3 linked regions of the Anolis sagrei genome follow. The main gene of each other region encodes a partner of the protein of the gene in region 2 in a complex. Links are inferred from orthologs where the notes say so. Each region holds a gene or a part of one and is shown on either strand. Other genes may lie near its edges.

Region 1 (7,525 bases), on a different chromosome or scaffold from region 2:
CAAAACTCAAAAATCCCCCAACGAAACTTAATCAAAATTCCCATGCTCCATCACTCCCCCCGCCGCCGCACACACACACGCAACCCCACGCTCCATCACTCCCCCCACCGCCGCACACACACGCAACCCCACTTCCCCCGCCGCCGCACACACACACACAACCCCAGGTTCCATCACTCCCCCCGCCGCCGCACACACACACGCAACCCCACGCTCCATCACTCCCCCACCCCAATCTTACCTCCTTTTACTTCACGCCACCTCCAAACCCCACCCCGCCCCTTCCCGCCCTGTCAAAATCTAGGAAAGACAGGAAGGAAGGAAAGAAGGAAGAAAGAGAAAGGGAGGTAAAGAAAAAGGGGGAAGGAAGGAAAGTTAGAGGAAGAAGAAAAGGAAAGAAAAGGAAAGATGGAAGGAAAGAAAAGAGAGACAGCAGAAGAGAAAGAAAAAGGGGGAAGGAAGGAAAGAGAGAAAGAAGAGGAGAAGGAAAGATGGGAAGGAAGGAAGGAAGGAAGGAAGGAAGGAAGGAAGGAAGGAAGGAAGGAAGGAAGGAAGGAGGGAGGGAGGGAGGGAGGGAGGGAGGGAAAGAAGGAGAGAAAGAGGGAAGATTGGCCACAGCAACACGTGGCGGGTAAAGGTTGTTATTTCTATTATTATTATTATGCTATTGTTCCTATGAGACCCTTTTAGGGGGAATGGGAGAGGTGTCAGGTCCCAGAGGCAATGCATTGCATTATTGTTATTGTTATGATGGTGGTGAAATAAAAGGAAATAAAAAGTGAAAGAAGGAAGCAAACAGGGAGGGAAGAAAGGCAAAGGAAGAAAGGGGGAGGGAATGAAGGAAAGAGAGAAGGATGATACCAAGTAGTGAAAGAAAGAAAGAGGTAGAGAAGGAAGAAAGGAGAGAAAGGAGGAGGAAAAGGGGGAAGGAATAGGTAGGGACCTCTCTTTCATAATAGTCCAGATATCTACCTCAACTTTGATAAGTTTTACTATAGGCCACAGCAACGCGTGGCAGGGCACAGCTAGTATAAATATAATATAACAACAGAGAGGAAACAAACAAGGAGATATAATATCACCTCTCAACAAAAGTTTGCTCGAGGCACTGTCAGGCCATTATATGCTAATCAAGGTGGTCAGTTGAAACATTCACACCTAGCTCCAGCAGACAAGAGTCCTTTGTCTCACCCTGGTCATTCCACAGATATATAAACCCATTTTCCTAGTTCCAACAGACCTCACTACCTCTGAGGATGCTTGCCATAGATGCAGGCGAAACGTCAGGAGAAATGCCTCTAGACCATGGCCATACAGCCCGAAAAACCTACAACAACCCCAAAATATTGTCGAAGGCTTTCATGGCTGGAATCACTAGGTTCTTGTAGGTTTTTTCGGTCTATAGGGCCATGTTCTAGAGGCATTTCTCCTGACGTTTCGCCTGCATCTATGGCAAGCATCCTCAGAGGTAGTGAGGTCTGTTGGAAATAGGAAAATGGGTTTATATATCTGTGGAATGACTGGGGTGGGGCAAAGAGCTCTCTGCTGAAGCTAGGTGTGAATGTTTCAGCTGACCACCTTCATTAGCATTTGGAACACTACATGGAACACTTTGAAAAACAAGCCCTGGAGACAGCAACCAAAAAGCCCACGATATGGTTCAGATATGTGGATGACACCTTCACCATTTGGAGCCATGAAGAAGAAGAGCTCAGCAGGTTCCTGGACCATCTTAACAACATCCACCCAAAAATCCAATTCACAATGGAAAAAGAAAATGAAGGAAGACTGCCTTTTCTAGATGTCCTAGTCATCCGCAAACCAGATCAACAATTGGGTCACACCGTCTACAGAAAACCCACACACACAGATAGATATCTACATAAAAACTCCAACCATCACCCAAGTCAAAAAGAAGCATCATTAAAGCCTTGGCAGACCCTGCAAAAAAAGAATCTGCAAATCCCACCTCCTCCAAGATGAACTGAACCACCTCAACTGGGCTCTCCAGGCCAATGGATACTCCACCTCAGACATCAGAAGAGCTGCAAGACCAAGAACAAGCCACGAGAGTCAAGATGAAGATCCACCCAGAGGAAAAGTGTTCCTGCCATACATCAAGGGAACCACTGACCGCATAGGGAAGCTGATGAGGAAACACAACATACAAACAATCTACAAACCCACCAAGAAAATCCAACAAATGCTACGTTCAGCAAAGGACAAGAGGGATCCTCTCACCTCTGCAGGAGTCTGCCGTGTGCCATGCAGCTGTGGACAGGTCTGCATGGGGACCACCAAACGCAGCATTGCCCAAACACGAATCAAGGAACATGAAAGGCACTGCAGACTACTTCAACCAGAGAAGTCAGCCATGGCAGAACACCTGATGAACCAACCTGGACACAGCATATTATTTGAGAACACAGAAATGCTGGACCATTCCAACAACCACCATGTCAGACTACACAGAGAAGCCATTGAAATCCACAAGCATGTGGACAATTTCAACTGAAAGGAGGAAACCATGAAAATGAACAAAATCTGGCTACCAGTATTAAAAAAACTCTAAAATTACTACAGCAAAACAGCAGAGAGGAAACAACCAGGCACATCTTAACACCTCTCAACAGAACATTTTCCCAGGCTCTGCCAGGCCTTCAAATGCTAATGAAGGTGGTCAGCTGAAACATTCACACCTAGCTCCAGCAGAGAAGAGCTCTTTGCCCCACCCCAGCCATTCCAGATATATAAACCCTTTTTCCTACTTCCAACAGACCTCACTACCTCTGAGGATGCTTGCCATAGATACAGGCGAAACGTCAGGAGAGAATGCCTCTAGAACATGGCCATACAGCCCGAAAAACCTACAACAATCCCAAAATAACCACAATTCCTACAATATAAATGTACCCTGGCGTTTGACAGCTTTCGTTATCTATTAAAGTCAAGGCGGGGAAACGCCTTCTCTTTGGTGTTACCATTGCGGCATTCCTCTGATCCACATCCGACGCAAAAGGACAAAACACCAGCCTTCTCGTCACGCCGCTCCCTGGAAATAATTTCAAAACTTTACCTCTGCCTCAAGCGCGCGCGCGCTCCGGAGAGAAGGCCGCTGATTGGCCAAGTCTCTGTTACCGTCACAAAAAGATGCGCGCGCGGATGAGCGTGCGCGCGGCTAAAGACGGGCGGAAGGAAAGGCTGATTACCATAGACTCAATAATGGTAGACTCATGTTGAATGTCAGCTTGCGGGTTCATTTGGCGAAAGTCCAGCTCTTAGGCCTCATCTACAGTTCTGACCATTTATTGCAGTTTGAGGCAAGCTGCAGCTTTCAAAAATCAGTTTGAAAGCTACATTTTATGATCAGTGTAAACCAGGAGTCCTCAAACGTTTAAATAGAGGGCCAGGTCACAGTCCCTCAAACTGTTGGAGGGCCAGATTAAAATTTGAAAAAAACCATGAATGAATTCCTATGCACACTGCACATAGAATCAAAGAGTTGGAAGAGACCTCATGGGCCATCCAGTCCAACCCCCTGCCAAGAAGCAGGAATATTGCATTCAAAGCACCCCGGACAGATGGCCATTATTCCAGTAAAACCAAATCATAACGAACCATTGAATGCATTTGCATATTATATCGAACTCAAATGATGTTCAATGTATTGTCGAAGGCCTTCATGGCTGGAATCACTCAGTTCTTGTGGGTTTTTTCGGGCTATATGGCCATGTTCTAGAGGCATTTCTCCTGACGTTTCGTCTGCATCTATGGCAAGCATCCTCAGAGGTAGTGAGGTCCTCACCTCTGAGGATGCTTCCATAGATGCAGGCGAAACGTCAGGAGAAATGCCTCTAGAACATGGCCATATAGCCCAAAAAACCCACAAGAACTGAGTCAAATGATGTTGTTTAGAGCACAAAAAATTGCAACAGTAAAAGATTTCTGAATACTCCCTAGACATTTCCACAAATCTGTTAACAACAATGTTCAGGGTTTACAATGGACTCTGCAGAAAATGCTTCAACTGTACTTCATGAAAAGGAAAACCAGCCTGTTAAGAAGTCTTGCAAATGCTGACTTATTATCAATAAATGTTTGATTTTTAAAAATAATCATAGAATCAAAGAGTTGGAAGAGACCTCATGGGCCATCCAGTCCAACCCCCTGCCAAGAAGCAGGAATATTGTATTCAAATCACCCCTGACAGATGGCCATCCAGCCTCCGTTTAAAAGCTTCCAAAGAAAGAGCCTCCACCACACTCTGGGGCAGAGAGTTCCACTGCTGAACGGCTCTCGCAGTCAGGAAGTTCTTCCTCATGTTCAGATGGAATCTCCTTTCTTGAAGTTTGAAGCCATTGTTTTGTGTCCTAATCCCCAAGGAAGCAGAAAACAAGCTTGCTCCCTCCTCCCTGTGGCTTCCTCTCACATATTTATACATGGCTATCATATCTCCTCTCAGCCTTCTCTTCTTCAGGCTAAACATGCCCAGCTCCTTAAGCCGCTCCTCATAGGGCTTGTTCTCCAGACCCTTGATCATTTTAATCGTCCTCCTCTGGGCACATTCCAGCTTGTCAATGTTGTTGTTCATTCGTTCAGTCATCTCCGACTCTTCGTGACCTCATGGACCAGTCCACGCCAGAGCTCCCTGTCGGCCGTCACCACCCCCAGCTCCTTCAAGATCAGTCCAGTCACTTCAAGGATGCCATCCACCCATCTTGTCCTTGGTCGGCACCTCTTCCTTTTGCCTTCCACTTTCCCCAGCATCATTGTCTTCTCCAGGCTTTGCTCATGATGTGGCCAAAGTACTTCAACTTTGTCTCTAGTATCCTTCCCTCCAATGAGCAGCCGGGCTTTATTTCCTGGAGGATGGACTGGTTGGATCTTCTCGCGGTCCAAGGCACTCTCAGCACTTTCCTCCAACACCACAGTTCAAAAGCATCGATCTTCCTTCGCTCAGCCTTCCCTAAGGTCCGGCTCTCACATCCGTAGGTGACTACAGGGAATACCATGGCTTTGACTAGGCGGATCTTTGTTGCCAGTGTGATGTCTCTACTCTTTACTATTTTATCGAGACTGGACATTGCTCTCCTCCCAAGAAGTCTTCTGATTTCCTGGCCGCAGTCTGCATCTGCAGTAATCTTTGCACCTAGAAATACAAAGCTTGTCAATATCTCTCTTGAATTGTGGTGCCCAGAATGGGACACAATATTCCAGGTGTGGTCTAACCAAAGTGGAAGAGGGGTAGCATGACTTCCCTGGACCCAATTCTATCGTTGGTCGGATTCAGAATGCTCTGTGATTGTAGGTGAACTATAAATCCCACAACTACAACTCCCGAATGTCAATATTCTATTTCCCCCAAACTCTACCAGTGTTCACATTTAGGCGTATTGAGTATTTGTGTAGAGTTTGGTCCAGATCCATCATTTGAGTCCACAGTGATCTCTGGATGTAGGTGAACTACAACTCCCAAACTCAAGGTCAATGCCCACCAAACCCTTCCAGGATTTTCTGTTGGTCATGGGAGAACTGTGTGTCAAGTTTGGTTCAATTCCATTGTTGGTGGAGTCCAGAATGCTCTTTGATTGTAAGTGAACTATAAATCCCAGCGACTACAAATCCCAAATGACAAAATGTGAACTCCCCTAGGGATCTTTGTTGAAGTACAGTATAAGATAACTTACGGTAATTCAGCTTGCAGTCAAATACTTCTTGCAAAGATGTACCATAATTAACCCAAGTTATAGTCCTATGCATGTTTTGTTGAAGCATGCAAGCAATCGGTGAGTGAGTGTCAACTCAAAATAATTGGTTGGGCAATGCATGGGGTGATGGCTGAGCCTGGAACTTTTGGATACTGTTGCACTTTACAGGCTTGAACTATGCAGATGTTAGATAAGAGAAACAGAGACAGACTGATTTGATTCTGCTGAAAAGAAGGCTTTTCATATGGTCAAAAATACAATTTTAGATCTCTCTGAAAGGACATTTAGTGAGTTGATGCAACTGATCATTTTAGACATATGTTCTGAATTAAGAAGAGGAAACTTCGTGTTTTTTATTGTTCATTTGCGTGGCATATTTTCTTTATCTGGCAAGGCAGTGTGTGGGCTGATCCAATGTGACCTTTACATGGTTTATTTTACATTATGCCACATGTTTTTCAATAGACCCTATGGAACATTACAAGATTTATTTCTCTATAACTGTAAATAACTGTTACTTATAATTGTCAGTCTATTGCATTGTTGGTAACAGAAAAATAGTACTTAACATGGTTTCATACTGTCTTTGTAAATATGTAAGTAGAGACCTCTTCTATCATGTATTTAATATTGTTCACACCACTCAATAATCAATTTATTTATAATTATATTTTACACAAATAGAACCACAGACGGATTAACTTTTTATTGCCAGCTGACATTTGTTAACTCTGAATTATTGTGATCTTTCCAATCAGTGCCTTGCATAACAACACTAGTCCTAAATTGACAACTTCTATATTGATTTTATATCAGTTCATTTGTCACGGCTTACTTTGAAGAATTCCAAAGCTTCCCTTATTTAGTGAGGGTACTAAAGTTCCTAGTTACTTTCTTTCTCCTCTGTTTTCTGGATGCAGAATGGTGAGGAAAGAGATAATTGCTAGATTTATAGTGTAAGTATGCTTTATTGTCACTGTTCATAATGAAACTTGAGAGTTGATTATGATTTCTAAAGCCCATCTTACTTCAGACGGTGGGCTATGTCTTAGGATTTCATCACATGAGGCAAGGGACTCAGGGCGGTGAACAACAAAAAAAAAATGGCAAACATTCAATCCCAACAAGACATAACAAAACAGGTCAAATCATAAACAATAAACAACATCAAAATATAATTTAAAAATAGCTAGCTGTGTCATCACATCTAGGGCCAGTTGAACTTATCCTCTGTTCCTCCCCAGTAACATTTTGACCATCTTCCAAACTGGGAGTTCCATCTTCCGATGGTATACTGACATATCTCTGGTTGTACTGATCGATTTAGTTTACTGATCCATTTGTTGTTGTTGTTGTTGTTCATTCGTTCAGTCGTCTCCGACTCTTCGTGACCTCATGGACCAGCCTACGCCAGAGCTCCCTGTCGGCCGTTACCACCCCCAGCTCCCTCAAGGTCAGTCCAGTCACTTCAAGGATGCCATCCATCCATCTTGCCCTTGGTCGGCCCCTCTTCCTTTTGCCTTACACTTTCCCCAGCATAATTGTCTTCTCTAGGCTTTCCTGTCTCCTCATGATGTGGCCAAAGTACTTCAACTTTGTCTCTAGTATCTTTCCCTCCAGTGAGCAGTCGGGCTTTATTTCCTGGAGGATGGACTGGTTGGATCTTCTCGCAGTCCAAGGCACTCTCAGCACTTTCCTCCAACACCACAGCTCAAAAGCATCGATCTTCCTTCGCTCAGCCTTCCCTAAGGTCCAGCTCTCACATCCGTAGGTTACTACAGGGAATACCATGGCTTTGACTAGGCGGATCTTTGTTG
Region 2 (8,058 bases):
AAGAGCTTCGCCCGGAAAGAGTCGCTTATAATCCATGAGCGATTCCATACCGGCGAGAAGCCATATAAGTGCTCCACATGTGGCAAAACCTTCAGCGATAAAATCGGCCGCCTCATCCACGAAAGGACCCACACTGGAGAGACGCCGTACAAATGTTCGGAGTGTGGCAAAAGCTTCGGCACACGCTGCAACCTCCTGAGGCACCGGAGAGTGCACACGGGAGAGAAACCGTACAAATGCTCGGATTGTGGGCAGAGTTTCAGGTACAGGCCGCAATTGGTGATTCATGAAGGAATCCACAAAGGAGAGAAGCCATACAAGTGTGCAGAGTGTGGAGAGAGTTTTAGCCAGACTCGGCACCTCGTTATACACAAATGGACCCACACTGGGGAGAGACCCCACAAATGTGCCGTCTGCAGCAAAAGCTTCAACCAGAAATCGGACCTTATTACGCACATGAGGACCCACACAGGGGAGAAACCATACGTCTGCGTAGAGTGTGGAAAGAGCTTCATTTCTAGCTGCCAGCTCCGAAAGCATGAGCGTATCCACACGGGCGAGAAGCCGTATCAGTGCTCCGAGTGCGGCAAGTGTTTCACATACAGCTCCCACCTCACTACACACAAACGGACACACACAGGGGAGAAGCCATACCAGTGTCCCGACTGCGGCAAGTGCTTCATCTCGAGCTCTCATTTAACCGCGCACACACGGACGCACACAGGCGAGAAACCGTATCAGTGTTCGTACTGCGGCAACGGCTTCATTCAAAGATCACAACTCGCTAAGCATGAAAGGTCGCACACAGGGGAGAAGCCCTTTGTATGTTCTGAGTGTGGCCAAAGTTTCCAGTGGAGCCAAGGGCTCAAAAAGCACATGCGGACGCACACTGGAGAGAAGCCATACAAGTGCCCGGAGTGCAAGAAAACATTCTCCACTTCCTCAAACCTTTCTAGGCACCAGAAAATCCACACCAGGGATAGACAATAGAGGCTCTTAGAAAAGGGATGAAAACCCAGTAGCTCTGTGGATGTTGCTGGACTGCATCTCCTATCAGCCTTTACTTGCATAGGCCATGGTTGTTAGGGAAAACTACCCTAAATATAGCGGAGCATCCAAAAATCAAACAGGATACTAAAAGTTGAGCATTCAGCTCATTAGCAAGCAGAGTGTGAAGTGTCGTGTGATGTGGCTGTAAAGAATTCAGAGCTTGGGAGGTAAACATGCAGAGTCTAATCTTAAAAAATCATAAAAGGTTTATTTACAACTAGCTTTCCCCTGCCACGCATAGCTGTGGCCCAGTCTGGTGATCTGGAAAATAAAGTAATGAGAAAGTGTTGGCTTCTAATATATGTAATTCCTTTATGCTTGTGAGTAAACAGTATTTCTTGTTGTTTCTTTGTCAGTGTTGATGTGGAGAGTGTCTGGTTTGCCCACTCTGGAACATGCAACATATCATTGTCCTTCTTTAGGGGTCTCTTTCAAATCTATGATACTATATCTGTGTGTGTGAGAGAGAGAATCATATCAATCTATCTATATTTATGACTGGATGGCTCTTTGTCAGGAGGGCTCTGATTACATTTTCTTGCCCTGGTGAAGAGAGTTGGACTGGATGGCCTTAAGTATTTTCTGTTGGTCATGGGGGTTCTGTGTGGGAAGTTTGCCCCATTTCTGGGTTTCAGAATGCTCTTCAATTGTAGTGAATTATAAATCCCAGTAACTACAAATCCCAAATGTCAAGGTCTATTTCCTCCAAACTCCATCTGTGTTCATATTTAGGCATATGGAATTTTTGTGTCTAGTTTGGTCCAGATCCATCATTGTTTGAGTCCACAGTGCTGTCTGGATGTAGGTGAACTACAACTCCCAAACTCAAGGTCAATGCCCACCAAACCCTTCCAGTGTGTTCTGTTGGTCATGGAAGTCCTGTATGCCATGTTTGGTTCAATTCCATCATTGGTGGAGTTCAGAATGCTCTTTGATTGTAGGTGAACTATAAATCTCAGTAACTATAACTCCCAAATGTCAAGGTCTATTTCCCTTAAACTCCATCTGTGTTCATATTTGGGCATATGGAATATTCGTGCCAAGTTTGGTCCAGATCCATCATTGTTTGAGTCCACAGTGCTCTCTGGATGTGGGTGAACTATAATTCCCAAACTCAAGGTCAATGTCCACCAAACCTTTCCAGTATTTTCTGTTGGTCATGGGAGCCCTGTGTGCTAAGTTTGGCCCAGTTCCATCATTGGTGGAGTTCAGAATGCTCTTTGATTGTAGGTAAACTATAAATCCCAGCCACGACAATTCCCAAATGACAAAATCATATATATTTTTTAGTGGAGGACATAAATTGGACTGTTAGGTGTCTTGTGTCCAAATTTGGTGTCAATTCCCCCAGTGGTTTTTGAGTTCTGATGGGAGCACGAACTAACATTACATTTTTATTTATATAGATAGTAAACAACTAACTACATTTCTTTATGGTAAATAACTGGGTCTGAGCTACTCTGACACCCATCTCTTCTAAGGTTTCAAGAGAGGGGAAAACTCAATCACGACATCTCTCCTGACACACAAGCAGAAAGAGATCTCAAAACACACAGCACATACTCTTCATACCAAAGTGTAAGAAAGCAGAAGTCAGGTTTAAAAATGCTTGCAGTAGAAAAATATCCATTTTAAACAACTCATCAGAATGAGAGCTGAAAGGGAAAGGGGAGAAGAAATAGATACATTCCCAGCTGTCATTCAGGAGTCATGGGGGAAGGGAAACACTTAGTCTATACTAAGCTAACTAAACTGTTCCTCGTTGAGGACTTGAGACTTGGACAGTGTGGGGTTGAATTCCAACAATGCTAAGGAATGCTCAGAACTCTGTCTCTAAGCATTATGAACCCACAAAGTTCTTCATTCTTTAGTCTATTGCCTGAATGTTTTTTATAAGGTAGTAACTTTAGAAATAAAGAAAAAACATTTCAAATACAAGCACAAACCTTTTGTTTTGATTGAGAAAAATATTGGATTCACACCTAATGCGATGAATAAATTTGTCTAATGTATTGTCGAAGGCTTTAATGGCCAGAATCACTGGATAGTCTTCCGAGATCGGTGTACTGGAGGTGGGTCCATAGGTGACTGTGGAGCCCTATTTGTGATCTGCATGTTCTCCCGCAGTGAGGGCATTGGTTTCCAGGTGGAAGGCGGTCCTTGTCAGGGTTGGCTTGACGCGCCTTCCTCTTGGCACGTTTCTCTCCTTCGCCCTCCATTCATGCCTCTTCAAATTCTGCAGCATTGCTGGTCACAGCTGACCTCCTGCTGGAGCGCTCAAGGGTCGGGGCTTCTCAGTTTTTAGTGTCTATGCCAGAGTTTTTAAGGTTGGCTTTGAGCCCATCTTTAAATCTCTTTTCCTGTCCACCAACATTATGTTTTCCGTTCTTGAGTTCGGAGTAGAGCAACTGCTTTGGGAGACTGTGGTCGGGCATTTGGACAACGTGGCTGGTTCAGCAGAGTTGGTGGCGGAGGACCATCGCTTCAATGCTAGTGGTCTTTTCTTCTTCTTTGTCCGCTTGTCTTCCCAAGAGATTTGCAGGATTTTCCAGAGGCAGCGCTGATGGAATCGTTCCAGGAGTTGCATGTGATGTCTGTAGACAGTCCATGTCTCACAGGCGTATAGCAGGGTTGGGAGGACACTAGCTTTATAAACACTCACCTTGGTCTACCTACGGATGTCCCGGTCCTCAAACACTCTCTGCTTCATTCGGAAAAATGCTGCACTCGCAGAGGGGGGTAGTCTCTCATCTGGTATCACCCATGGATTGAGGTGCTGAGTTTGGGCCTGCCACTTTTGGACTCTCGCTTGCTGAGGTGTTCCAGCAAATGTCTCTGTAGATCTAAGAAAACTAGGTGCTGCAAAGGAGCTGTAAGGCAGTATATCTTCCAGCCAAGCTGTAGGGCTGTATAACCCCAGCCAAGCTGTAGATGAAGCTTTCTACAGGAGCTCTTGGTATTATGTCCTGCATGGAAAGCTTCTCTGTGTGGACTGAACCCAAACTGGCTCCTTTTCCCTCCAAAAACCCCAAAAGGGGGCGGGACCAGGGAACCTAACTATAATTGACAGGTGGCTTGCCCTATGATTGCAGCCAAAAGAAGCCACCTATCTGCAGAGTCCCAGAAACTTAGGACGACAACAAACATTCAATGCAAAGCAAACAAAATTGGAGCTCCTGGTACAGCTGTACCTGCACAATAGCGATGAAGATGGAGAATAAAGTTGGGGCAATAACACATCCCTGTTTAATGTATTGTCGAAGGCTTTCATGGCTGGAATCACTAGGTTCTTGTGGGTTTTTTTCGGGCTATAGGGCCATGTTCTAGAGGCATTTCTCCTGACGTTTTGCCTGCATCTATGGCAAGCATCCTCAGAGGTAGTCAGGTCTGTTGGAATTAGGACAATGGGTTTATATATCTGTGGAATGGCTGGGGTGGGGCAAAGAGCTCTTCTCTGCTGGAGCTAGGTGTGAATGTTTCAACTGACCACCTTCATTAGCATTTGAAGGCCTGGCTGAGCCTGGGAAAATCTTTTGTTGAGAGGTGTTAAGATGTGCTGTTTTGCTGTTGTACTCCCTGTTTGACACCTGATTCCACCTTAAATGGGTCACTTTGGGAGCCATTGCTGTCCAAGAACTAATGCATTCTGACACCACTTGTACCGCCATGGCTGAATGCTTTGGGGTCTAGGAAGGCTAAAGACCTTGTGAAGCTACAACTCCTAAGAGCCCATAGCATTCCAAACTGCATTCATTCAACAGCAGACAGGATCTTTCTTTGGCCCGCCCTCCTTTAGTTACCATTGGCTCCTTTCCCCCGTCACTCATCGCTGTCACACCAACCGCAGCCAATCGCCATCAAGACTCGGGGAAATTCTATGACCCAACTAAGTGGACCCAAGTTCTAATTCCCATTGGTCAGATTGTTGCTTGTGCTTCTCTTCCTCCGGCCAAGATTCGAAAGGCGTCGTTCGCGGAGCGGATTGGCTGGCGTTCCAGGAAGGGGGCGGGATTTGTGACCTGGCGCGCAAATTCAAAGAGAGGGAACTGGAGGAAGAGGAAGCAGAGCTGGTGTGAATTCTGGGTTGTTGCTGTTCCTGAGTCGCCGCAGGAGGTGAGAACGTCCAGTTTAGGGGAGTGCGCCCTGACGTCACAAATGCCCGCCCAGGGTGCATCTGCACTGTAGAATTAACACAGTTTGACACCACTTTTAAATGCCATGCTTCAAAACGCTATGAGGCATGGAATGTTTGCCTTTTTTCTTTGTTGGAGTCTCCTCGGGGTGATAGGCCGGAATATAAATAAAGTAGTGTTATATTATTATTATATTTAGAAGTAAAGAAAGATAATGTGTGTGTGTATGTATGTGTGTACACACACACACAATTATATATGTATGTGTATGACATATCTTGGAGGTGAGACCTGGATCCAGACGTGAAAATAATTTTTGTTTCATATTCTGTGTTTATCCTATTGTATATTTTGTTATTGTTTGCATTTTATTTGATGTTATTATTTGTTGGATGTATTTTACTTTGCATTATTGTAATTGTTGGGCTTGGCCCTGTGTTAGCCACCCTTGGGGAGATGGTGGTGGGGTATACAGTTTATTATAATGGCGCTCCATGCAGTCATGCTGGCCACATCACCTAGGAGGTGTCTACGGACAATGCTGGCTCTTTGGCTTAGAAATGGAGATGAGCACCACCCCCCAGAGTGGGGCATGACTGGACTTAATCTTTACCTTTATTATTATTATTATTATTATTAGACGACTACTAAACGACTCCGGCCCAGTTTACCTGTCCGAACGGATTCTCCCCTATGAACCATCAAGGTTGTTAAGATCTTCTGGAGGGGCCCTGCTCTCGGTCCCGCCACTCTCGCAATTGCGTCTGTTGGGACGAGGGACAGGGCCCTCTCGGTGGTGGCCCCTCAGCTCTGGAACTCTCCTACTGGAGAACTGCCCCTTCTCTCCTGACTTTTAGAAAACTGGTGAAAACTTGGCTCTGGAATTTAGCATTTGATGAGTGAGTCAATAAACTCCTGACCACACGGACGGATGGCGATGAATTGTGATTTCGTTCTGACGACTTGGCCTTATGTAATTATATGACTGTATTTTAATGTGTTAGTGTATCATGGGATGTGATGTTTTAAACTACTGTTTATGAATCTTTTGTTGTGAACCGGACTGAGTCCCTCTGCGGAGGTCGAGAAGACCGGTATAATAAAAGTTCAAAATAAATAAATAAAATAATAAATAAATATTGACACAAAAGCACAGTATGTCACAGCAAACGAGATCTATATGCTGGATTTCGTATCACAAAATCACAAGTTGTACACTTCCCAAGCGTCTAGGACTGTGTGATGTATTTTCGAATGATGCGCACAGATCCAAGTAAGGTGGCCTTTTGCAGTTGATAGATCGTGATTTTTTCGATGTTTGTTGTTGTTATTAGAAACACAACAAGATGAGTCCACAGCAGATCACACGTTGGACACTTCCCAAGTGTCTAGGACTGTGTGATGTATCTGCAAATAATGCGTGCAGATCCCAGTAGGGTGGCCTTTTGCAGCTGGCAGATGGTAATCTTATCAGCGCAAATTGTGCTTAAATGCAGGCCAAGATCGTTAGGCACTGCACCCAGTGTGTCGATCACCACTGGGACTATCTTGACTGGCTTGTGTCAGAGTCTTTGCAGTTCAATCTTTAAATCCTCATATTGTGTCAGTTTCTCCAGTTGTTTCTCTTCAATCCTGCTGTCACCTGGGATTGCAACATCGATGATCCACACTGTTTTTTAACACGATTGTGAGGTCAGGAGTATTGTGCTCCAAAACTCTGTCTGTCTTAATTAGGAAGTCCCAGAGTAGTTTGACATGTTCATCTTCTGTAACTTTTTCCGGCTTGTGATCCCACCAGTTCTTTGTTGCAGGCAGATGGTATTTGTGGCACAGGTTCCAATGAATCATCTGAGCAATGGTGTTATGCCTCTGCTTATAGTCTGTCTGTGCGACATTATTATTATTATTATTATTATTATTATTATTATTATTGTTTTATATATATCATAGACATGTACCCGTAAAATAATAATTTTGTATACTAATTGTAATAATTTTGTCCATGAAAAGAAGTCTGTGTTCACTGAACCATCAGAAAGCAAGAGTTTTTGTTTGCAAGGCTGAGGGGAAAGTTATGGGAAGGGAATATCTTTGGATTTGAATGTTTTGTTTTCTATTTAAGTGCTTATGATGTTCTTTTAAAATTTAATGTGTTGGATTTAAATGGCATTTTTTGAAAACGTAATGACATTTAATTCAAAAAGCTAGCTAGCAAGCAAAGGTCTGAAAAAAATCACCATGTCAGCAACCCATGCTGGCATTTTTGGATTTTGGTGGCTTTTATTCCAAGGTAAGGAATGTTCTGCCCATAATGTAGTCCACTTCTCTCAAAGTCTTTCTGCTCAGCCATGGGAGCCCAGGGTTGGGTAAGCCTGAGCAAGTCCCTCTCTTTCAGCCTCTAAGGGAAGCAATGATAAGCTCGCTCTGAGCAAAGTTTGCCACGAACCCTATGAAGAGTTTGCCTTTGCATCGCAGTAAAGTTGGAAATAACATACACAACAATATGGAACTGCAGTCTATTTGTATGCATGTATTAACTGGCCAAGACTGTAGTCCTGTATGCATTTACCTTGAATTGGATTTCCCCGATCTATTTATTTATTTCGTATCAAAAGCATTGCATAAAATAGTATGAAACTATTAAAAGTAGAAGGAGCACAAGTGGCTAAATATCTTTTGACCAAAAATGGGCAACAGCGACCGCATTGTCTGTAGCCTCAAACAATTCTTCCTCTGCGCATGAGGCAGGGCATTGTGGGAAAGAATACAATTGTGGAGTTGTTTGTTCTCCATTTTACCAGGTTGTCTTTTGATTTGCCCACCTCACTTCTGAGTCTGTTCAGGGAATTCCAAGTTGCCCATTCTTGGTTTGCCC
Region 3 (7,848 bases), on a different chromosome or scaffold from region 2:
AATAATAATATAATTACTGCTACTAATAAAATAATATTTAATAATATAATATACTACTACTAATAAATAATGATATAATAATATACGACTACTGTTACTAATAAAAGAATATTTTATAATGTAATATACTAATAATATTTAATAATACTAATATATACTACCACTGCTACTAAATAATAATAATAATAATAACAACAACAACAACAACAATAACTATATAATATACTTATGCTAATATTAAATAATACTAATAATCAGGGCCAGCTAACACTTCCCAACAAAGGATTCCCCCAGGCAGGAAGCAGCCAGGCTTTGAAGCTGCAAGGCCATTCAATGCTAATCAAAGTGGCCAATGGCAACATTCACACTTGCCTCAAGCAGACAAGAGTTCCTTCTCCCACCCTGGACATCATTCCACAGATATATAAACCCCACTTGCCTAGTTTTCAAGAGACCCCATAACCTCTGAGGATGCCTTATATTAATAAGAATATGAATTGAGTAAATAATTATATATTATAAGTAAGTAATACTAAATAATAAAATTAAGCCAGTCATACTAAACAATACCAATCATATGATTTGAGTAAATAATACATAAATGATAAGTAGTTAATTATAATATTATATAATATAATATACTATCACTGCTACTAATAAACTAATAATAATTTATAATAAAACAATATACTAATAATAGTTAATAATTATAATACTATACTACTACTGCTACTAATAAAATAGTAATAATAATATATACTATATTATAATGAAATGAATTCAATCATATTAATACCAATCATATTAAATGAGTAAATAATAATAAATAAATAATAAACAATGCTACATGATAAAGTTAAGTCAATCATGCTAATATAAATTAATAGGTAAAGGTAAAGGTTGTCCCCTGACATTAAGTCCAGTTGTGTCTGACTCTGGGGTGTGGTGCTCATCTCCATTTCTAAGCCGAAGAGCCGGCGTTGTCCGTAGACACCTCCAAGGTCATGTGGCCGGCATGACTGCATGGAGCACCGTTGGAAAAATTCTATCTATATACAAATTGGAAAAATATAAATTAATACTGTTATGCAAATCATCATCAACATGATACAAATTGGAAAAATAGCAAAAATAAGAAAGATACCAAGGGATAAAAATTGTGTCAAGAATGAAAACAAGAATAATGTGAGTAAATAATAATATTAATTAAGTCATGGTAATAATAATAATGGAGTAAAACTGGAGTAAGTACCTAATACTACATAATAAAATTAAGTCAGTTATACTAAGTAATACATATAAATTAATAATAATAATCAATCAATAATAATCAATAATCGGAATTTAGAGCGTCAGGCCTCGTTGAAAAAGGCTATCTGTGCTCCAGCTAAAAAACGGGGGAAATTTTGGGGACCGAAATGGCTTTTGGGGTATTTTAAAAAAACAGGGATGGATAGGGTTTCTGTAAGGAGCGAGGAATGCCATTGTCCCCGTCTTTGGAAAAGAGACAAGAAAACCTTAAGTCCCAATGACCACTGGAGGTCAGCTTTTCAATAATATAGTGCAATCCAACTTTATTTGAGGGAATATCTTTCATGCTCACTGTCTCTCCAAAGAAGAAGAGGCCAGGAGAGAAACAGCAGCAGAAGGAGGAGGAGAAGGAGGAGAAGGGAGGCAGAGCGCTCACTGTCTCTCTCTACACACAGAACAGTGCATCCCATGGCTTGGAAGGAACAAGGGCGTGCAGAGATTATCATATCATAACACTATATAATATAATATAATATAATATAATATAATATAATATAATCACCATATAATATAATATAATATTTATTATAATAATATAATATAATTATTCATCTAGCTATCTAACAATTTATATTATATTATATTGCATAATAGTATATAATGTGTAATATTGCATTGCAATACAGTATATCATATTATATTACAATATCTATATCTACCATATATCTAGCTATCTATCTATCTATATAGGTAGGTGTGTGTGTATATATATGTGTGTGTGTGTGTGTGTATATGGATGTTCGAACAGGCATTTGGTTAATCGGTGCAATGAATGTGATGATTACAGGATTGGTAATATGGACGACGAAACTGGATCACGATTTGGTCATGAGATGCATTGGATTGTTGTTGTGCCAATATTGTGTATTATGCTTTTATGGTTTTAAATTGTATATTGCTGACTGTTGTATCTTGTTGTAAACCGCGTTGAGTCGCCAGCTAGGCTGAGAAACTGCGGTATACAAAGTAAAGTAAATATATATATATATATATATATATATATATAGTATATTATAGTAAAAAAGGTTTTCCCCTTGACATGAAGTCTAATTATGTCTGACTCGGGGGGGGGGGGGGGGTGGTGGTGGTGTAGAGTATCTCCATTTCTAAGCTAAAGAGCTGGCGTTGTCCATAGACCCCAGGCATGACTGCATGGAGCGCCGTTACCTTCCCGCCTGAATGGTACCTTTTGGTCTACTCACATTTGCATGTTTTCAAACTACTAGGGTGGGCAGAAGTTGGGGCTAACAATTGGAGCTCACTCCAGATTTGAACTAGCGACCTTTTGGTCAGCAAGTTCAGCTGCTCAGAGGTTTCACCCACTGCACCATCAGGGGCTCCTGTATATTATAGTACTCTATATTACAGTAGACTATATTACAGTGTGTATATATATATCATAATATAATATTATACTATAATATAATTATAATAATAAAAGCTATTAATCTATCCATCTAACAATTTATATTATATTTCATAATAATATATAATGTGTGTGTGTGTGTGTGTGTGTATATATATATATATATATATATATAATGTATTGCATAATAATATATAATGCAATACAATATAAACAATATAATATGAATAAACAACAAGAATATTATATTGTCATGTAATATGCAATACATATATATAGCATATTGTAGTAATCTATATTTCAGTCGTTTCCAACTCTTTGTAACCTCATGGACCCAGTCCACGCCAGAGCTCCCTGTCGGCCATCACCTCCCCCAGCTCCTTCAGAGTCAAGCCAGTTACTTCAAGGATGCCATCCATCCATCTTGTCCTTGGTCAGCCCCTCTTCCTTTTTCCTTCCATTTTCCCCAGTATATAATATTATACAGTACATATACACACATGGTAATATAATGTTATAACAATAATATATCTCTATCTATCTATCTTTATAATATCTATTATATTACATTATAATATATATAATATATATATTATACAATACAGTATACAAGATTATGGCAACAAGAATGATTGACAACTGGAAAATAGAGGGAGAAACCGTGGAGGCCGTGACAGACTTTGTATTTCTAGGTGCAAAGATTACTGCAGATGCAGACTGTAGCCAGGAAATCAGAAGACGCTTACTTCTTGGGAGGAGAGCAATGTCCAGTCTCGATAAAATAGTGAAGAGTAGAGACATCAGACTGGCAACAAAGATCCGCCTAGTCAAAGCCATGGTCTTCCCTGTAGTAGTCACCTACGGATGGGAGAGCTGGACCTCAGGGAAGGCTGAGCGAAGGAAGATCGATGCTTTTGAGCTGTGGTGCTGGAGGAAAGTGCTGAGAGTGCCTTGGACTGCGAGAAGATCCAACCAGCCCATCCTCCAGGAAATAAAGCCCGACTGCTCACTGGAGGGAAAGATACTAGAGACAAAGTTGAAGTACTTTGGCCACATCATGAGGAGACAGGAAAGCCTAGAGAAGACAATTATGCTGGGGAAAGTGGAAGGCAAAAGGAAGAGGGGCCGACCAAGGGCAAGATGGATGGATGGCATCCTTGAAGTGACTGGACTGACCTTGAAGGAGCTGGGGGTGGTAACGGCCGACAGGGAGCTCTGGCGTAGGCTGGTCCATGAGGTCACGAAGAGTCGGAGACGACTGAACGAATGAACAACAACAACAATACAGTATTATAAATATGATATACAATATAGGAAATATTACATTATATATAATATATAATGTATTATAATATATATATATAGAGAGAGAGTACAATATAGCCTATATTTATATTATATTACACTATATTATCCATGCCATATGCACAATGGAGGACCTTCTTATAGCAACACCAGAGGCACTCCAACTAGCCAGCTACTAGTCCATAATAAATAAACAAACAAACAAACAAACAAATAAATACACTATATCAGGGGTCCTCAAACGATGTTATATATAATATATAATATATAATACATTGCAATATAATACATCTGCATTCCACTCTTGTTGCATCTGGTGTCAATTTGAGACATGAAGACCTTCATAAATTCATCTGTAGACTGGAAAGCAATGGCATCTCTAGGCCTTTTCTAGGTACTCCAGGCAGTTCTATGATATCTTGGAAGTTATCATAAAGTTGGGTTAAAGGATGGAGAAAATGCCTAGAGTGGGAATGGTCCTCTACGGTCCATTTTTGGGCATTTTGGAGTCCAAAACATTGGACCAAGAAGTCCAAACTGTTGGCAAGAATGGTGATTTCTAATGTGTTCTAATCTTACGTTGATGTCTTTTAAGGTTTTATGTATTTTAATACTTTATTTTGACCTGTTTTGGTGATGGCATACAATGCTTTATGCCTTGAGTAGAGGCAGGTTAGAAATAATGATGATGATGATGATGATGATGATGATGATGATGCATTTCCAGGTCTGTTGTGATCTATGCCTCCCAACCTTTGCAATTGTTTTTCTCTCCTCCTGCTTCGTTCCCTCTTTCTTTCTTTCCTTCCTTCCCTCTTTCTTTTGCTGAAGCAGAAGCGAATGGGTTGACATTAGCAGCAAAGAGGGAAGTGAGTCACTCTGAAAGCCACTCGGGTTTCCATAAACCCACGCGTTTGGGAAAGGAAAGAACATCAGAACACATTGCCTTCCAAACATCTTCAAGGTTTCCCCCTCCTTATTTAATTTACTTTTATATTACATTTTTAAATTTCATTTCTTATTTTTTCAATTATAATTTTAATTTTAATTTATATTTATTGAAGTTTATTTCAATGCTTATTTTTTAATGTTTATTATATATCATTTTTCCGTTTAATTTTAATGTTTACTTTTATTTTTTTATTTAATTTTAATGTTTATTTTTATTTAGGGATGTTTATTTTTACGATTTTGGTTTTTAAACTTTCAAGTGGACACCCCAGCCACATACACACATACATAATTTTCACTTTTTATTATGTATATAGATAGATAGATAATCAGTTTGGAAGTTTCCCGAAGAATATGTTTACAGATCAAGGATTATTTTGGATATTATATTATATTTATCGTAGTATAGTATATATATATTCCGGATGGAAATTTGCTGAAGGATCCATTCACTGATGAAGGATTATTTCTAATACTTAGCAGGATAGTATAAGGACCCATTAATCTCTACAATTTGAGGATGCAGAGAAGAGTAGAGGGTGAATCCTGGCTCTGCCATAATATCTAAGGGGTTAATTTAGAAGGCTAAATATGTCCCTTTCTGGGCATTTTCTAGGTCAAACAAAACCTATTTCAGTGTGTTTCCCCTCCTGTGAATGGAAAGTAAGAGAAAGGTACTCAGAAATATGGGATTATTGAGTTTTTTTACCCCTCCTTTTTTGCTAAAGGGACAAAACCCTTGTGTCGCAAGAACTGACTCAGAAGAAGGAGCAAATATTTGGAGAGCCGTTTTTATCCGTCTGCCCGGCTTGCGGGACAAGGGCCCTGTTTTCTGGCTTTCAGTGCAAATAATCCTAGCCAAACATTCCCCTGGTTTGACTTGGATGTAAATAAGTCATGTCCCGTCCCCCCCAATTGAACACTTTAAGTGTGAGAGCTTGGTAAAGCCTAATAATAATAATAATAATAATAATAATAATCCATGATCCCAAGGTTCAAAGCTAGCAAATACTTCCAACTCTATGATTGTATTATTATTATTATTATTATTATTATTATTGTATTGTCGAAGGCTTTCATGGCCGGAATCACTGAGTTGTTGTAGATTTTTCCAGGCGATATGGCCATGTTCTAGAGGCATTTTCTCCTGACGTTTCGCCTGCATCTATGGCAAGCATCCTCAGAGATAGAGAGGTCTGTTGGAAGTAGGAAAATGGGTTTATATATCTGTGGAATGACCAGGGTAGGACAAAGGACTCTTGTCTGCTGGAGCTAGGTGTGAATGTTTCAACTGATCACCTTGATTAGCACTTCCAAGCCATTAAATGCTAATCAAGGGGGTCAGTTGAAACATTCACACCTAGCTCCAGGCACTGCACCCGTGTGCTGATCACCACTGCGACCACCTTGACTGGCTTGTGCCAGTCTTTGCATTATTATTATTATTATTATTATTATTATTATTATTTGAAACTCAACAAGATGAGTCCACAGCAGACACTCTGCTGGCTGTTGAATTGGATCACACGTCGGACACTTCCCAAGTGTCTAGGGCTGTGTGATGTATCGCCAAATAATGCGTGCAGATCCCAGTAAGGTGGCCTTCTGCAACTGGCAGATAGTAATTTTGTCAGTGCCGATTGTGTTTAAGTGCAGGCCTAGGTCTTGAGGCACTGCACCGAGTGTGCCGATCACCACTGGGACCCCCTTGACTGGCTTGTGCCAGAGTCTTTGCAGTTTGATCTTTAAATCATCATATTGTGTCACCTTTTCCTGTTGTTTCTCTGCAATCCTGCGGTCATCTGGGAGTGCAACATCGACGACCCATACTTTGTTTTTTAACACGATTGTGAGGTCAGGAGTCTTGTGCTCCAGAATTCTGTCTGTCTGAATTCGGAAGTCCCAGAGTACCTTGACGTGTTCATTCTCTGTAACCTTTTCTGGCTTGTGATCCCACCAGTTCTTTGTCACAGGCAGATGGTGTTTGTGGCACAAGTTCCAATGAATCATCTGAGCAACGGTGTTGTGCCTCTGCTTGGAATCTGTCTGTGTGATCTTCTTGCGGCAGTTGAGGATGGGATCTATTCTTTCACCTGCTTCCTTGCAGAGTCTACAGTTGGGATCTGTTGTCGACTTTTCAATTCTGGCTTGGATGGCGTTGGTTCGAATGGCTTGTTCTTGGGCTGCCAGAACCAGGTCCTCCTTTGTCTCCTTTTTCCGAGTTCCATTTGTGAGCCACAGCCATGTTTTTCTTTGTCCATTTCGCTCTCAATTTTTCCCAGGAACTGTCCAGGGAGAGCCTTCTTTGGCCAGTGTTCTCTTCTGCTCTGGATTGTGTTTTTATGGTATTCCCTCTTGTCTTTTGCACTTGAAGCAGTTTCCTACTCTTGACTTCCCTCAGTGTTGGTTTTTCACTGCCTTTCCCATCATCTACCAGTGTGTTTTTCTCTTCTTCTTCTACTGTTGGTTTCCCTTGCAGAAGCCCTCTCCTCTCTGCCTCCTGATTTTCTGGGTAGGTCAAGTCTGTCGACATCACTATGCAGGTGTAATGCGTAGTGGATGGCCATCAGTGGATGGCCCAGGGGTTGAGAGCCTTGATCGTATTTCCGCCATTTAATTTGCTCTTCAAAACTTTTCTGACTCTTTGGATATATTCTTTGCTGACCACATTTTTCACTTGCCCATGCTTGATATTGTCCCACTGTAGTATGCCTAGATTTTTATAGGCTTCAGGGTTATTGCACTTTATGGTATTATTATTATTATCATTATTATTATTATCATTATTATTATTATTATTATTATTACTATTATGCAGATCCTGGATGGCCATCTGTCGAGAAGGTAGCACTGTGTCTTCCTAGGATATTATTATTATTATTATTATTATTATTATTATTACGCAGATCCTGGAT

The links.
Region 1: CENPA (region 2) and CENPC share a complex: the UniProt entries of both Homo sapiens proteins name them as parts of the CENPA-NAC complex. The link is inferred for Anolis sagrei from reciprocal best matches to the Homo sapiens genes CENPA and CENPC.
Region 3: the proteins of CENPA (region 2) and NTMT1 are in contact, whole or in part, in a crystal structure (PDB 5CVD), measured with the Homo sapiens proteins. The link is inferred for Anolis sagrei from reciprocal best matches to the Homo sapiens genes CENPA and NTMT1. Residues at the interface, in NP_001800.1 of Homo sapiens: Gly2, Pro3, Arg4, Arg5, Arg6, Ser7; in NP_001273725.1 of Homo sapiens: Tyr19, Trp20, Met30, Leu31, Gly32, Tyr34, Ile37, Trp136, Asn168, Ile175, Asp177, Asp180, Asp212, Glu213, Ile214, Tyr215.

The regions. Positions count from the first base shown.
Region 1 is NC_090026.1:56,281,296-56,288,820, reverse strand, and holds the start of CENPC (centromere protein C), read right to left. Parts: upstream 3,099-7,525; 5' UTR 2,985-3,098; coding exon 2,982-2,984; intron 1-2,981. UniProt on the Homo sapiens protein: Component of the CENPA-NAC (nucleosome-associated) complex, a complex that plays a central role in assembly of kinetochore proteins, mitotic progression and chromosome segregation.
Region 2 is NC_090022.1:15,640,605-15,648,662, reverse strand, and holds the start of CENPA (histone H3-like centromeric protein A), read left to right. Parts: upstream 1-5,053; 5' UTR 5,054-5,163; intron 5,164-8,058. Other genes in the region: zinc finger protein 850-like, read left to right, coding at 1-990. UniProt on the Homo sapiens protein: Histone H3-like nucleosomal protein that is specifically found in centromeric nucleosomes. Replaces conventional H3 in the nucleosome core of centromeric chromatin that serves as an assembly site for the inner kinetochore.
Region 3 is NC_090031.1:3,641,087-3,648,934, forward strand, and holds the start of NTMT1 (N-terminal Xaa-Pro-Lys N-methyltransferase 1), read left to right. Parts: upstream 1-4,828; 5' UTR 4,829-4,946; intron 4,947-7,848. UniProt on the Homo sapiens protein: Distributive alpha-N-methyltransferase that methylates the N-terminus of target proteins containing the N-terminal motif [Ala/Gly/Pro/Ser]-Pro-Lys when the initiator Met is cleaved.